Arabidopsis thaliana: one gene and its partner. The protein of the gene in region 1 interacts with the protein of each later gene in a biochemical or structural test. Each region holds a gene or a part of one and is shown on either strand. Other genes may lie near its edges.

The links.
Region 2: the proteins of STZ (region 1) and MPK3 form a complex in vitro, tested with the Arabidopsis thaliana proteins (one study listed by BioGRID).

The regions. Positions count from the first base shown.
Region 1 is NC_003070.9:9,643,487-9,650,970, reverse strand, and holds STZ (salt tolerance zinc finger), read left to right. Parts: upstream 1-1,647; 5' UTR 1,648-1,985; coding exon 1,986-2,669; 3' UTR 2,670-2,950; downstream 2,951-7,484. Other genes in the region: TAF4B (TBP-associated factor 4B), read left to right, coding at 3,595-3,636, 3,756-3,822, 4,093-4,325, 4,416-4,517, 4,770-4,830, 4,961-5,667, 5,894-6,018, 6,171-6,258 and 7 more. UniProt on the Arabidopsis thaliana protein: Transcriptional repressor involved in abiotic stress responses. Can repress the stress responsive genes DREB1A and LTI78. Probably involved in jasmonate (JA) early signaling response.
Region 2 is NC_003074.8:16,753,596-16,762,089, forward strand, and holds MPK3 (mitogen-activated protein kinase 3), read left to right. Parts: upstream 1-2,975; 5' UTR 2,976-2,997; coding exon of another isoform or gene 2,998-3,189; 5' UTR 3,190-3,322; coding exon 3,323-3,480; intron 3,481-3,563; coding exon 3,564-3,693; intron 3,694-3,781; coding exon 3,782-3,919; intron 3,920-4,020; coding exon 4,021-4,353; intron 4,354-4,445; coding exon 4,446-4,629; intron 4,630-4,711; coding exon 4,712-4,881; 3' UTR 4,882-5,279; downstream 5,280-8,494. Other genes in the region: AT3G45645 (uncharacterized protein), read right to left, coding at 2,998-3,189; NAXT1 (nitrate excretion transporter1), read left to right, coding at 5,658-5,757, 5,858-6,075, 6,159-6,676, 6,753-7,671. UniProt on the Arabidopsis thaliana protein: Involved in oxidative stress-mediated signaling cascade (such as ozone). Involved in the innate immune MAP kinase signaling cascade (MEKK1, MKK4/MKK5 and MPK3/MPK6) downstream of bacterial flagellin receptor FLS2.

The DNA.
Region 1 (7,484 bases):
AAGTTTGGTGTGAGTGAGAGTGTTCTTTATCCAGAAGGCAATGCGTGACCCATGCATGATGACACGCCGACAGATACATTTTTGGTTCTCTGCATCACATATATCCACCTCACAAGTTTCATGTTTTCCTTTATATACACATCAAAATGTGTCTTACGTGCACTGTTTTGAACCTGGATCCAATCCATACATAACATGATGAATACCACGACGACACTTTAGTAATCCACACACATGTTTTATAATGCAGAAAGTAAAATTCAAATTCGAGATATCATGATTACATCAGCCTCCCATGAGAATTTGTAGCAGATACATCCAATTGCTTAATTAATATATGTATACATATTTCTTGACGCGTTATATAAAATCCGTATTATTGTCTTTATTTGGATAACGTGTTACCAAAAACTCCTTTAATTTATGACTTTTCAAATATACTACATTTAGATTATCAATAACTATAATAAAATTTAGAAGAACTTACACAAAAAATTACTACAGAAAATATTTAAAAATAATAAATATCCCCGTTTGTTCAAGATGAAATTTTGTGATTTTCCAGAGAATTCAGTAATCTGAATTTTAGGTCCATCATCTTCAGATTATTCTAAGTCATTTCTAGTGGGACACTAATTAAAACATCATTTTAGTAAAGTTTTGCACTAAAAAACTTTTCCAAAGAACACTAAAAAGTGACATGAGTGTGATGCAATATCACACCAAATTTGGTGTAACACTAGCTGTTTCCGGTTAACTGTTTGCGTCAAATAAAGAGTAAACCGTCCGGTTTGAACTTTGAAGAGCGCCGCGTGAAGAAGTCAAATGTCGTTGCTCTTTGTTTTAGTCAAATGTAGTTCGTCTCCCACATCTTACTGTCATAAATATAATATTAATCTATCACTAGTATAGTTGTACCAAAAATGTTGGCTCCTTGCATTTAGCTTTGTTTATTTGACTGTGGAAACTTGAAATAGTCTTCTTTTATAATAGTCATGCACCGTCTCAGACCTCTTATTAGTCCTAAATTACCTCCACCTTTTCAATATGAATAACTGTTCAAAAGCTTTGAGTGGTAATACATACATTTCCGCATTTAGATTCTTATTCCTCTCTTTAATCATGGTTGATGGTTGCATACCCAACCAAAAAAACAGGTAAATATCAGACGAATATTTTTCTTTTAGGCTGTTTTAGAATTTATTTTACCATCGAGCAAGGTCGAACCATTAAATTGTTTCTTTAGACAAAGCAAGTCTAAAACTAGCCAACGTTTTATTTTACATATATCACCTAATTTAAGTGATGGCTCAATTTTCTAATGTAAAAGTAAGAAGAAGAAAAACGTTTTCGAAATGAATTGATCTTGTAGATAGATATTTCCGAAGATGCTTTCCAAATCAATATTGGTTAGTTGTTATAGACTTTCTTTCTTTTTTTGTCAACTGGTTAGTTGTTATAAGTTATAACTATCTATCTATCTTAAAGTAAACCGAAACGTGTACCATACGAGTACCATCCATGACAACGACCAGAAACCACAGAAACTCTAGAATATTTTGTAAGGCGGCATCAGTACTAGTAAACTAAGTAATGAAGGAAAAGTCTTATAGCCGACCTCTTCTTCATTTTACCAACACCACTTGCACACACACACACGTGTACTAGGTCAAACCAAACGTGCCCTAATTATTTTCCTCTCTTTACCCCCAAAAAAACATCTAGATACTTTCATCACAACTTTGGTCCGCATATTAAAAAGAGTTTTAGAAAAATATAGTAATTATCTAATCGCCACCTTCACTCTTCACACTTTCCTACCACTTGTCACGCAACTTCCTTCTCCACACTCCACCTACTACTATATATTTACACACACTTTCATTACTTCTTCTTCAGCAATTAAACAATTTCTTCACTGCAATTCACAAGCAACCTTCAAACTAAAACTCGAGAGACAAGAAATCCTCAGAATCTTTAACTTAATGGCGCTCGAGGCTCTTACATCACCAAGATTAGCTTCTCCGATTCCTCCTTTGTTCGAAGATTCTTCAGTCTTCCATGGAGTCGAGCACTGGACAAAGGGTAAGCGATCTAAGAGATCAAGATCCGATTTCCACCACCAAAACCTCACTGAGGAAGAGTATCTAGCTTTTTGCCTCATGCTTCTCGCTCGCGACAACCGTCAGCCTCCTCCTCCTCCGGCGGTGGAGAAGTTGAGCTACAAGTGTAGCGTCTGCGACAAGACGTTCTCTTCTTACCAAGCTCTCGGTGGTCACAAGGCAAGCCACCGTAAGAACTTATCACAGACTCTCTCCGGCGGAGGAGATGATCATTCAACCTCGTCGGCGACAACCACATCCGCCGTGACTACTGGAAGTGGGAAATCACACGTTTGCACCATCTGTAACAAGTCTTTTCCTTCCGGTCAAGCTCTCGGCGGACACAAGCGGTGCCACTACGAAGGAAACAACAACATCAACACTAGTAGCGTGTCCAACTCCGAAGGTGCGGGGTCCACTAGCCACGTTAGCAGTAGCCACCGTGGGTTTGACCTCAACATCCCTCCGATCCCTGAATTCTCGATGGTCAACGGAGACGACGAAGTCATGAGCCCTATGCCGGCGAAGAAGCCTCGGTTTGACTTTCCGGTCAAACTTCAACTTTAAGGAAATTTACTTAGACGATAAGATTTCGTTTGTATACTGTTGAGAGTTGTGTAGGAATTTGTTGACTGTACATACCAAATTGGACTTTGACTGATTCCAATTCTTCTTGTTCTTTCATTTTAAAAATTATTAAACCGATTCTTTACCACATATTTTACAAACGCGTTGAGTCTTTTTTTTATCTGAATAAGCATAAAGTGACACCACTACAACTCTGTTTTTGGTTCTGTTTTTTTCAAAAAATTTATAACACAATTAAGCATAATCAAGAACGTTCTAGTTTCTACTACCATCCACATATTGTTCTTTCTTATATTTTGGAAAGCTCTAAGCAAATAAAAAGAGTTGTGATATCTTACGGAAGACTGCCAAAGAAAACTCAACTTTCATTTTTCTTTTACCAAAAGAATACCGTAACTTTCAATTGAAAAAAGCCTTTCTTGACGGGTCGTTTGTTTTCTTTAGTAGCACTGTTTAATTAACGTAGATAATCCCTTCTTTAATTTGGTGAATTATCTACGGGAAGTCCAAAACTCAATGGTCATAAACGTGTATCAAAATTCATCTAAAAGTTAATTAATTTTTTTTTGCAAAAGTCTGATGCTAATATGAATAACTGTTTAAGAACTCCAACATTATATTCAAGAAAAATAAATTTTGATATACAAGAACAAGCCCAGTTACCGAAAAGAAGAACAGAACGGCGCGCAGTGTTTTATCCAAAAGAAACAACTACCGAAAAGAAGATCAACAGAACGGCGCGCAGTGTTTTATCAAAAAGAAAAAACGACACGGTGTTCTCGCAGAATCTCCCTTTATATAAAAACTTGCGGAATTTGGAATCTTATTGGATACAACAAATCGTTTCCTTGAAAATTCCCTCTTCGTTTTGAGCTATTGACGTTTGGTACCGCGAGATTCCTCCATGGATCTCTCCATTGTCAAGCTCCTCGAAGAAGACGAAGAGGTTAGGTTTCGAATTTCCCACTCTCATTTTCATTTCCGTACTGTCTGCGAAAATCCACGCGCTATCTTGTTCTGTGGACGAAGCTCCTAAATGTCGATTCCCGCTAATCGTGTCGTTAGGTTGACTCTAAGCATTCGGAAGATGACTTGCAAATGTTTCAGGACTCTCTGATTCGAGATATTGAAGGTTCGTTTTGGACCCTAAAATTCATATGCGAAACTGTGGAATGTATCAAAACAGGGAAATGCCTTTAGATTTCTTTAGTGATTTAGGTTCACGAGTCGTATTTTTGTGGTTTGTCATGTATCTTCATGTTTCACTTGATGTTAACTGTTGAATGTTGATGGATGCAATTAGATTGTTAGTTCTTGATGATGCTTTAGTGACGGTTAGTCATAGAAAAATATTAGAGCATACTCATAATTGATTTTGGTGCTTGAACTCATGTGCCCCAAGGAAGTAACTTGAAGTCTATAAACAATACTACTGGTAATGAATCAGAAAAACCGCAACCTCGGTATATGAAACTGCAGAAGATGAGTAGCAAAGAGACTCCTTGGGTGGAAAAGACTGTTGACCCTGTGAATCATAATCTTAGATTAGCACGAGTTACTGATTTGCTTCGTACCGTGGTAGACCACCAACCCGGCAAAAAGACGCATTGTCTTAACCTGCATTATAAACTCAAGGTGTGGCTTTACAGTTTACATCCATGAATGAATTGGCACTCTGATCGAAGTTTCTTAATACATTACGTTTCTTTTCATACTTGATTGCAGAGAAAAGAACTTACAATGGAAGAGTTCATGCGACAACTGAGAGATCTTGTAGGTGATCAGATAATCAGATCGGTAATTAGCCAACTGCCTCAGTTAAAACCGGTATTACCCTTTCCATTTTCTTAGCATTTATAAGTACTTTAATGATTTTCATTTAGCAGCCTCCAAGAGAGTTTCTTGTTTTATATGCTTCCTTCTCTGTATATGAACATGTGCTGAGAAAGAAATCTCACTTCTGAACCTTATTAAAAAGGAAATAACATAAAGAATTCTCACTTTAATAGTATAAGCTGAATACTTCTTGTCTTGGAATTGTGGCTTACTGGTTTCAGAATGAACTGTATGTGTAACCAGGGAAATATGGGGATCAAAGTACCTGGACGCTCAAACCATGACAAAGTGTCTAAATCTGCTGGTATAACTTATTTAGTTGATGCCATTTACTTTTGCAATTATCATAGATCATCTTAACTTTCTGGTAGATCTTATCTTATGATTTCCTTGTAGCATACAAAACTAATCCCAGATACAATCATTAACTGCAGAATTCACTGCTCAAGAATCTGATCCTCGTGAAGTTCATGTTAACCAACTGTCTTCTACAACTTCAGGCACCTTAAACAGTTCAACTACTGTGCAGGGATTAAATAAGCATCCCGAGCAACACATGCAGCTTCCATCAAGTTCTTTTCATATGGATACCAAATCTGGAAGTCTTAATCCATACCCAGGGACAAATGTCACTTCTCCTGGTTCATCATCGAGAGCAAAGCTCCCTGATTTCCAGCATAGGGAAAACAATCAGAATGTGGGAATAGCCAGTGTTGGAGGACCAACCAAGTCTACAATAAACATGACGACAGTACCCAAGTTTGAGAGGCCAACTTTTGTAAATGGTCCAAGTAGGGTTCAGGATGGTCCTATATCCGACTTCCCAAAGAACTCATCCTTTCCTCTATATTCTGCTCCTTGGCAAGGATCAGTCACCAAGGACCATACAGTGGGACCTTCTTCATCAGTGATCCATGTGGAGCATAAATTGATTGATCAAAGTTTTGAACAGGCACATAAACCTCGTTATTTGGTGCAGCAAGGCGTGACTAATGTTCCACTGAAACAGAAGAATGCTATTCCAATTAGTTCAAATGATGACTTGGAGAAGCAGTCTTCTAAAATGGGTTTATTCACATCAACCACTTCTGCCAGCTCTGTTTTTCCTTCAATGACAACACAGCTGGACTCTAGCACGATGGTAACTTATAAATTATACTTTCAAAAGACAGATTTCAATTTGGTTGATCTTCTCTTTAAGCTCATAGGGGGACCATTTCTCTTCAACCGATGTTGCATTTGGTTTCGTTTTGCTTATATTTTGGACCACCCTGGCTTCTATTTCTCCTTGTACTGGCTTCGAACTTTGGTTGTGAAGAGTAAATGGACTATCTATCTTACGTGAAAATTATTTGTGTACACTTCAGGTTAATATGCCTGCCCCATCTGAGACCATTCCCAAGATTGCTAATGTTACGGTGACACCCAAAATGCCTTCTGTTGGTCAGAAGAAACCTCTTGAGGCACTAGGTTCTTCGCTGCCACCATCAAGGTAATGAGCTGGCTGGTTTGTGAAAGATGAACTACTTACAGCGTCCATAAATTACTCTTCCTTTTTTCTTTGCTTTTCTGATAATATCCTTTTTACCTTACTAACAATTTAGAATTGCTAAATTGAAGTCTTATGTATTTTTTAATATACAGAAAGAAGCAAAAAATATGTGGGACTTCTTCAGATGAAAGTATTGAAAAGTTTAATGATGTCACTGCAGTCAGTGGCATCAATCTCAGGGTATGTTTACGAGTTGCTACACTTCTCATTTTGAACCTGGATATAGAGAAACAATAAACCAAATTACTTTCTGCATCTGTTCTAGGAAGAGGAAAAACAATTATTAGATTCTGGTCCTAAAAAGAACGATCGTGTTTCTAAAGCATATCGAAGACTTGTGCATGGAGAGGAAGAAAGAACGCTTTTGCAGAAAATTCCACTGCAGAGAAAGCTGACAGAAATTAGTTTGTGTTTCAACTCGTATCTTAGCTGCTTCTTTGGTCCTTACTTGGAATCACTTGGAGAAGAAGTTTATGTATGCTTTCATATATGACAGTGGGAAAAAGTGGTTTAAAGCATATAGACCATGATGTAGAGCGGTGCTTGTCTCTGGTGAGATGTTAACACCTTTTCTTGGAATTATTAGCCTTCAATTTCCTGTTTTTGTTTTCGTTTTTCTCATGGCTTTGCGCATTCAGTGTGTGGAGGAGAGGATGCGAGGACTACTGTTTAATATAATACGAATATCAAAGCAGGTCAGTCTACTTTCTCTTCTCATGCCTCCTTAGATCTTGTTGTACCTAAATCTTTCTGAAGTTACAAGAGCTTTTGCAGCGGACTGATGCAGAGAAGTGTAGAAATCGGACTTTTATCACATCTGATATCCGGAAAGAAATTAATGAAATGAATCAGAAGGTGAAAGAGGAATGGGAAAAGAAACATTCTGGAGAAGAAAAGGTAATGGTTTGTCCTGAGCTTAATATCTATTTGTCTTAGTTATCAGTAGTAATGTCTAGTTTTTTTTTTTTGTATATTCATTGATGTAGAACAAAGAAAATGATACTGAAAAAGAAGACCAACGTTCAAACGAAGTGAAGGTATTTAGAACTTGAGCCAACTACCTAAACCTTTGGAGATATACACATACGTACACTGAAAGAGGTTTATTGATCACAAGTCAGGCAAATAAGAAGGACGAAGATAAAGAGAGAGCCAAGGCTGCAAATGTTGCTGTTCGTGCAGCCGTTGGAGGAGATGATAGGTTTTCAAAATGGAAACTTATGGCTGAAGCACGTCAGAGATCTTCTCCAGGGCCAGGAAGAAACTCCAAGAAACTTTCTGGTAAGATTGGTAATCCCGTTTCTATGATCTGAAAGAGTAAATCTCTCAGTTCTGTTGCTGGTTATTCTTGTGTTTCGTGCTCCTAATTGCATATTCGAACTTTATGTAGGTGGTACACAATTTGG
Region 2 (8,494 bases), on another chromosome or scaffold:
GATTTCTACATACAATCGGAATCAGTAAACACGTTGATCTCAATAACTACTCCGGAACTAAAATCGAAACACCAGAATTAGGGTTTTGAGATTCGGCGATTCAAATCCCAACATGAAAGAGTCAATTACGAGAGAAGTGAAAACATACGGCTGAGTAGAGAGATTCGATCGGAGATTGTGGAAGATGAAGAAGATTGAGAGAAGTGGGAGATTGCAAGAGACAACAAGTGAGAGAGATTGGATGGCTGAGATTTTGGCCGCTTCTAGATCCACGATTGCCTAATAAGAAGAATTAACTATGCCCTTAGATTATTAGTTTATTACGGATCTGCCACTATCTCCGGTTCGATTATTTTTGGTTGGCGTCGGTTAAAGACTGATTTAATTTGGTGGTGGTTTTATTTCAACCCAATGATTATATTTTAATTTTTGTTCTTCTACATATCCGATATTTTCAGAAATCATGTGGAAATAAATCTAAAAATTTAGAAATTTAGTTACAAGTTTTATAAAACTAATCGTCTAATACAATGAAATTTCATCAAAATAATTATTTTTCTATAAATTATGATGATCTAAGTACCGGATTAAGAACAAATTACAAATAAGAATACTGTACACAACAAAACTCAAACATGTGACTTCAGAAAATATTTTACTCGTAAATTAAAACATAAACATACACGAATACTATCCTTCATATATATCTTTGTATCTAAGAGTAACTCAATGTTCAAAATAAAATACAGCTAAAAAAAGTAATAAGCAAAAGAATATGGGATAAACTATTTTAAGCTGAAAAAGTAACAAAGTGATAGAACACACTCATGCATCATTAGTTTATGTAACAAAGAAGAACTCATTTTAAGTTGTTGCAATGGAGACTTGCTTCAAAACCTTTGAACAGTCCACAAGTTTCAAGCTTTTAAACGTTCTACAGATGAACAATGGAATAAACGACTAGGCCATTCTTTTCAAAAGAGTGTTCATAAGGGAAATATCATCCACATGCATTTGGAAGCTCTTTATAAGCTTTCGATTTTGCCCGTACCTAATGATTTTCGTTTGTCCATCTAGGAAGTACTCGATTTAAAGTTTAGAACTAATTTAAACAATCATTGTTTTGATAAGGTTAAGTATTTGAAATCACTTTTAGATGACTTTGGAATAGTTTTAGAAGGTTATAATCCAGTGAAGTTTAACGATGCATCGTTATTCCTTAACATAAATAGAACTCTAACTTAAATAAATTTCATAACAAAATCAATATTTTTAACGATAATGTTGGAACATAAATTATATAGCGCATACGATTATTTAGAGGAATTTGTAAACTAAATATTAATATCTTGTTCGAACTCGAAAATAGCTTACTTTTTTTTCTTCATAAGTGTTGGCTTTGATATATAACAACAAAGTGTTACAATAGTGGAAAACTCCACTTACAGAATTCGATAGGCTAATGAGCATTACGATATTAAATTATCAAACACATATAGATAATCTCCTTTAATTTTCATCTACTCAGAATTGAACATTTTCATAATCTGCAAGTTCTGCTTTATCTTGTCTGCTTTCATTGGAAATGAAATGGTATATGTTGGTCGGTAAAAGACGAATCAAATTTGTAAACTAACAATGAACTATTGAAAGAGTAAATCTTACAGAAATCTCAAAAGAAAATAAGATACTAAAAAGGGAGAAACTGAATCTCTCACTTAATCCCCATTCGGGGAACCTTTACACTTAACACGCGATCTGATGGAGCCATGAGTGCAATCCAATCAATCCAAAACTTCTGCAAGGCCCTCTTACACAGATATCCTAACGAAAAGTAACCACAAAGATCCGCTTCTCAACTCCAAAACCAATTTGCGCAAATAGAGATTTTGCCTATTTTGCTATCTCTTTCTTCTTAAAACAAAGCCTTCTTAAAACAAAAGTCCAACAACAAAAGTCAAACCGAGCCCAATATAGTAACCCATCGAGGAAGGGATAAGAAAGCCATACAACACAGAGACATGTGTCGCCTCATGAGGAAATCACAGACACGTGACGAGAAGAACGTGTTTGTCGAGAATGCCAACCACTGCCGGCATGTTTTCTGAGATCGAAGAACGCCTACCCACCGAAAGTTCGTTCACTCCGCAAAACCAGAAGCTTCAAGTAGAGCACTGAAGACCCTCTAAAGAAATTGCACATCTAGTCTTCCTCTTCCAAACGAAATTAAACTCAGATTTAACAAACGAACGAAACTTTCTTTCATATGAAGGAAAGCGTCCACCATTCCAAAGTAGCATGAAGCATCACAATGACGTAAGCAACCAAAAAGATTTTCCGGTGAGACTTAACGTCGCCATGCCCATCAAGTGAAACTACTACAAAATTTGAACGACAAGGCTTATGAAGCCGAAACTCTTAAACTTCCACTTTTTCTTCGTAATGAAGAAACTTAATAAGTTTATTAGAAATAAAGACAAATAAAGGCAAAATACCAAAGAACGGCGACGATAAAACCGGATTTACCGGTAACTATAACTAGAACTCACCGTACGGTATTGAAACAAAAAGTTGGACCATGTCCGAACACAACCTCACAAACATACGGGAAGGCATACGAAACAAAGAATTTTTTCTTTTTCTCAAAATTTTAGAGAAAGAAGAGAATAAAAAAATTCTGATCGAAAATAGCTTACTTAAAAATCATAATTGAATAGTATCTTTTGTTTTTAAACTAATTTAGTCTATATAATAATAATATTATTAACCATCGTAAACCACACATGATATTCAATACTTATAATAAATTAATCGCATAAAATACAATACTTAAAACGAGTGTTATATAATTTTACGTAACGTAAAACAATACAAAATTTTAATTCCTGAACGAATAAAACGAGTATATTAATTAATTTATTGATCGTATTAAAACGAATATGATCCAATTAAGATTACAATTACTAAAATCCCCACACTATTATTGTCATTATTTAACTATGGCAGATAGATAGATACAGAACCGTAAAGGACGTTAGGAAGAGGAAGAACGTTGACGAAGTCAACAACGAACAGAAACCGTCGATTTGAGGCGGCTCTAATCTCAACCACACGATCTTCTCTGCCTTTCCCTCTTCTCTCTTCTTCTTCTTCTTCATCTTCTTCCTCGCAATTACCGCGAAAACTCATCTCTGCTCAATCCTCAATCTCAGTCTCTCTGTTGACTCCGACTGTTATATAAAACCATACAAATACCTTCAGATTCACTACTTCAAACCTCAAAGCAACCACTGAATCTCGACTTTGATCAATTGAGAGAGAAATGAACACCGGCGGTGGCCAATACACGGATTTTCCGGCGGTGGAAACTCACGGAGGACAGTTCATAAGTTACGATATCTTCGGTAGTTTATTCGAGATCACATCTAAGTATCGTCCTCCGATTATACCAATTGGTCGTGGAGCTTATGGAATCGTTTGGTATGTTTCCTTCTCTGAGCTTTTTCTTAAGTTTTATTCTTTGAGATCGGAGTTTTTAATTTCTGGATTTTGATTTTGTGAAGCTCTGTGTTGGATACGGAGACGAACGAGCTAGTAGCGATGAAGAAGATAGCTAATGCTTTTGATAATCATATGGATGCTAAGCGTACGCTTCGTGAGATCAAGCTTCTTCGTCATCTTGATCATGAAAACGTTAGTGTTTTTGTTCGATTTTGTGAAATATCTGTAGAAATTAGTAAATAAATCATGATTAGGGTTTTTTGATTTGGTATTGCAACAGATTATAGCTATAAGAGATGTTGTTCCACCACCACTAAGAAGACAGTTCAGTGATGTTTATATCTCTACTGAATTAATGGATACTGATCTTCATCAAATCATCAGATCTAACCAGAGTTTATCAGAAGAACACTGTCAGGTAAACTAAAAACTGTTCTTGGCTTTTTTCTGGGATTTATATTTGATAGAAGAGACATGAAACTGATACTTGATTTGGTGTTTTTGTTGTCATGGAAACAGTACTTCTTGTACCAGCTACTTCGAGGACTGAAGTATATCCACTCAGCTAACATTATTCATAGGGATTTAAAGCCGAGCAATCTTCTGTTGAACGCGAATTGCGATTTAAAGATTTGTGATTTCGGTCTTGCTAGACCTACTTCAGAGAATGATTTTATGACTGAGTATGTTGTTACGAGATGGTATAGAGCACCTGAGCTTCTGTTGAACTCTTCAGATTACACAGCTGCTATTGATGTTTGGTCTGTTGGTTGTATCTTTATGGAGCTTATGAATAGAAAGCCTTTGTTCCCTGGTAAAGACCATGTTCATCAAATGCGCTTATTGACAGAGGTAAAATATTTTAGAGAGTTATGTAATTTTAGCATGGTTTAAAGATTCTGCCTTTTCACGGAATATGTGATGAATTTGTTTGAATCTTGCAGTTGCTTGGCACACCGACAGAATCTGATCTCGGTTTTACTCACAATGAGGATGCGAAAAGATACATCCGGCAACTTCCCAACTTCCCACGTCAGCCCTTAGCTAAACTTTTCTCTCATGTTAACCCAATGGCCATTGATCTTGTTGACAGAATGTTGACGTTTGACCCCAACAGAAGAATCACTGGTAAGTTTCATACATGTTCTCTGTTGGTTTTTCTTACCATCACTATGTTTTGATTAAAAACTGAAAATACCATCTTGTGCAGTTGAACAAGCTCTGAATCACCAGTACCTTGCTAAATTGCACGACCCGAATGATGAGCCAATCTGTCAAAAGCCATTCTCTTTTGAGTTCGAACAACAGCCTCTGGATGAGGAACAGATAAAAGAGATGATCTACCAAGAAGCCATAGCACTCAATCCAACATACGGTTAGAAGTGCAGCAGCCCCGTGAATGCCTGGTATTACCCAATAACCATCCGAATGGCTACTTAGTATCTTTGCCTGTTCTTTTATTCATGTACTTCTTCCACATATGTAATCTTGTAACTTTTATTTGTTTGTTCATGTTATTTACTGCTAGTGATTAAGTGTAGCTCCAATGTAAAGTACTCCAGTTATTAAAGAATATCTATAGACTTTTTTACTTCACATACTCTTGAGTCTTCCCTAGTAAACAAAGAGAAGAGAGAATATAATTTTGTAATGTACAGAGCCTCAATATTTGTGGGAGACATTATAGAGCTAGAGCCAGAGTCAATGCTGTCGCCGTGAGTTGTCTATTCTCATTCAATGACTTTCAATAGATTTTAGTGGGATTGGCTTTAGGTAGCTTGCATTATTGAAGTAGAAATGGTCAATTCCTTAGCAATAATTAGGCACAAATGTGTCTTTCTTTAGTAATATTGTAATATCCTTTGTCTGACAATTTAGAGTTGACTTCTAAAACGTTGGGTTGGAAATAATGTTGTCTTCACACAGGCTGTTACGAAGCAGACAGTGATGGCTCAACTTGCATCAACGGAAACCTTTGAGTTTTTGTTTTACTTTCTTAATGTTTCTTTATTTGAAGCTGCTGCGCATGGAGAATAAAATATCGTGGACCCGAGAAAGTCATCATTGCTGTATTATTACTTATACTGTATATATGTTTCAGAATTTCAGGCCATTGTTGACAAAAATAGTGAAAGATTTCTGCTTGATTTTGAGACATGGCTAGTTCAGTTACTGGCGATGCAGAAACAGCGATATCAGCAGATTCAAGCACCAAACGCCGTGGTGGAGGTTGGATTACCTTTCCGTTTATGATAGGTGAGAGATTCTGTTTCTCTGTTTTTATATTTCTCATAACTTCATAACCATTAGAGCTTGGAAGAAGAAGTTGAATTTATCTTATCTTTCTATGGTGCAGCTACGTTGTTAGGCTTGACAATAGCTGCGTGGGGTTGGTTACTTAACTTGATCGTCTACCTGATCGAGGAATTCAACGTGAAGAGCATTGCAGCGGCTCAGATTGCTAATATTGTTAGTGGTTGTATCTGTATGGTTCCAGCTGTTGCAGCCATTGCATCTGACTCTTTCTTTGGAACCATTCCTGTTATCTCAGTTTCAGCTTTCATTTCTCTTATGGTAAAGTTAATAAAGAGTCCTTGACATTTGTTTTTATCAGTTTCTCTCTGAAACAGAAATTCACTAATTCTACTCTTGACCAGGGTGTAGCTCTACTGACTCTAACTGCTTCACTTGACACTTTAAGACCTAGACCCTGCGAAACAGCTTCAATACTATGCCAGTCTCCTTCGAAAACCCAGCTCGGAGTCCTTTACACGGCCATAACTCTAGCCTCTATAGGAACAGGTGGGACACGGTTCACATTAGCAACTGCTGGTGCGAACCAGTATGAAAAAACTAAAGACCAAGGAAGCTTTTTCAACTGGTTTTTCTTCACAACATATCTAGCCGGAGCTATAAGTGCAACCGCCATTGTCTACACCGAAGACAATATCAGCTGGACCCTTGGGTTTGGTCTGTCTGTAGCCGCTAATTTCTTCAGTTTTTTGGTTTTCGTCTCGGGGAAAAGATTCTACAAGCATGACAAGCCTTTGGGAAGTCCCTTCACAAGTCTACTATGCGTCATTTTCGCAGCATTACGCAAAAGAAAAGCTGTGGTTTCCACCAACGAAAAAGACTACCACAATGAATCAATCACAATGCCCACAAAGAGTTTCAGGTAGAAAAACCGGCTCGAAAACCGCAGTTTCATTCTTGCACTGAGAGGCCGTTCTAATGAGTTTTCAAATACGCAGGTTCTTTAACCGTGCAGCATTGAAACAGGAAGACGAGGTAAAACCAGATGGCACAATTCGCAATCCATGGAGACTATGCAGCGTTCAACAAGTGGAAGATTTCAAAGCAGTCATAAGAATCATCCCTCTCGCCTTAGCCACAATATTCTTGAGCACTCCAATCGCAATGCAACTAAGCTTAACAGTTCTTCAAGGTCTGGTGATGGACCGGAGGCTTGGTCCTAGCTTCAAAATCCCTGCAGGCTCTCTCCAAGTCATAACACTTCTCTCCACTTGCCTATTTATCATAGTCAACGATAGGGTTCTCTATCCATTTTACCAAAAGTTAACGGGAAAGCACCTCACACCGCTCCAACGAGTTGGGATAGGCCATGCGTTCAACATTCTAAGCATGGCTGTGACTGCCATAGTTGAAGCAAAGCGATTAAAGATAGTACAGAAGGGTCATTTTCTCGGATCATCATCTGTTGCTGACATGTCAGTCTTATGGCTCTTCCCTCCTCTAGTCATAGTAGGAATCGGTAAGGATTTGATTCCGGATAATAATTCATTCTACGAGTTCAGATCAATCCGACCATGTTCTTGTTTTTTGGTTGCAGGAGAGGCCTTCCATTTCCCAGGGAATGTAGCTCTGTGCTATCAAGAGTTTCCAGAGTCTATGAGAAGCACCGCAACATCGATAACCTCGGTGGTGATTGGGATATGTTTCTACACAAGCACTGCTTTGATAGATCTGATTCAAAGGACCACGGCGTGGTTACCAGATGACATAAACCATGGAAGAGTTGACAATGTTTACTGGATTTTAGTCATAGGAGGAGTCTTGAATCTTGGCTATTTTCTTGTGTGTTCTTGGCTATACAGATACAGAAACCTCAAGGATGATGATCATAAGCAAGCTGCAAATGTCTCTCACTGATCTTTAAGCTGGAGAAAGAAAGAACATGTCCTTTGTTGTTATCATTTGCATTTCTTTACAGAGAGCTTTGTCTGAAAGTATCTCCAATTTGTAGCCATTGAAAAACAGTTTTTCATATGTAGAATTGATTTGGAAATTTGTGGTAATATAATCGTTTTGTTTCTGTGATTCCTGAGTACAAACCAGTAACACAATTGATGTTGAGCTTGTGATGCTTCTGTAGTGCCTAAGATAACAATCTTGTGATTCTCGGGCTGCTTTTTGATGTTTTCTGTCTTTGACAGAGACACTCATGACATTAGTGAATATTTTTGCAGGAGTTATGATTAAGGAAGATGGTGAATCTGAATATGCGGAAGACAACCATTTTAAAAAGGAACAGGTGACAAAGAATGTGATGGAGAATCTAGAAAAGTTGATTACTACTTATAGGATGACAAAGCATTATTCTTCTTAAGATGAATGGGGATATGGTGAATCTTGGATGAACAATAATGCATCGGTAGCATCAAAGCTTGTCCCGGTGAGTAGTCTATTATCATTCAATAACTTGTTGATTGTTTTGTGGGCTACTTGCATTGTTAATGTAATTCCTTAGTACTAAAAGACAAATTGGTCTTTCTCAAGCTAGTTATTCCTCTACATGACATGTTAAGTTGACTTATTGAATGTTATTAGCTTGACCGAGGTTTTGCTTTCACACATGCTGTTATATTATAATAAGCTGACAGTGATAGTTTAACTCCCAGCAACGACCACAGTGAGTTTTTTAGTTTTTCTTGTGAGACTAGAGGCTGCTGCACATGGAGAATAAAAATATTGT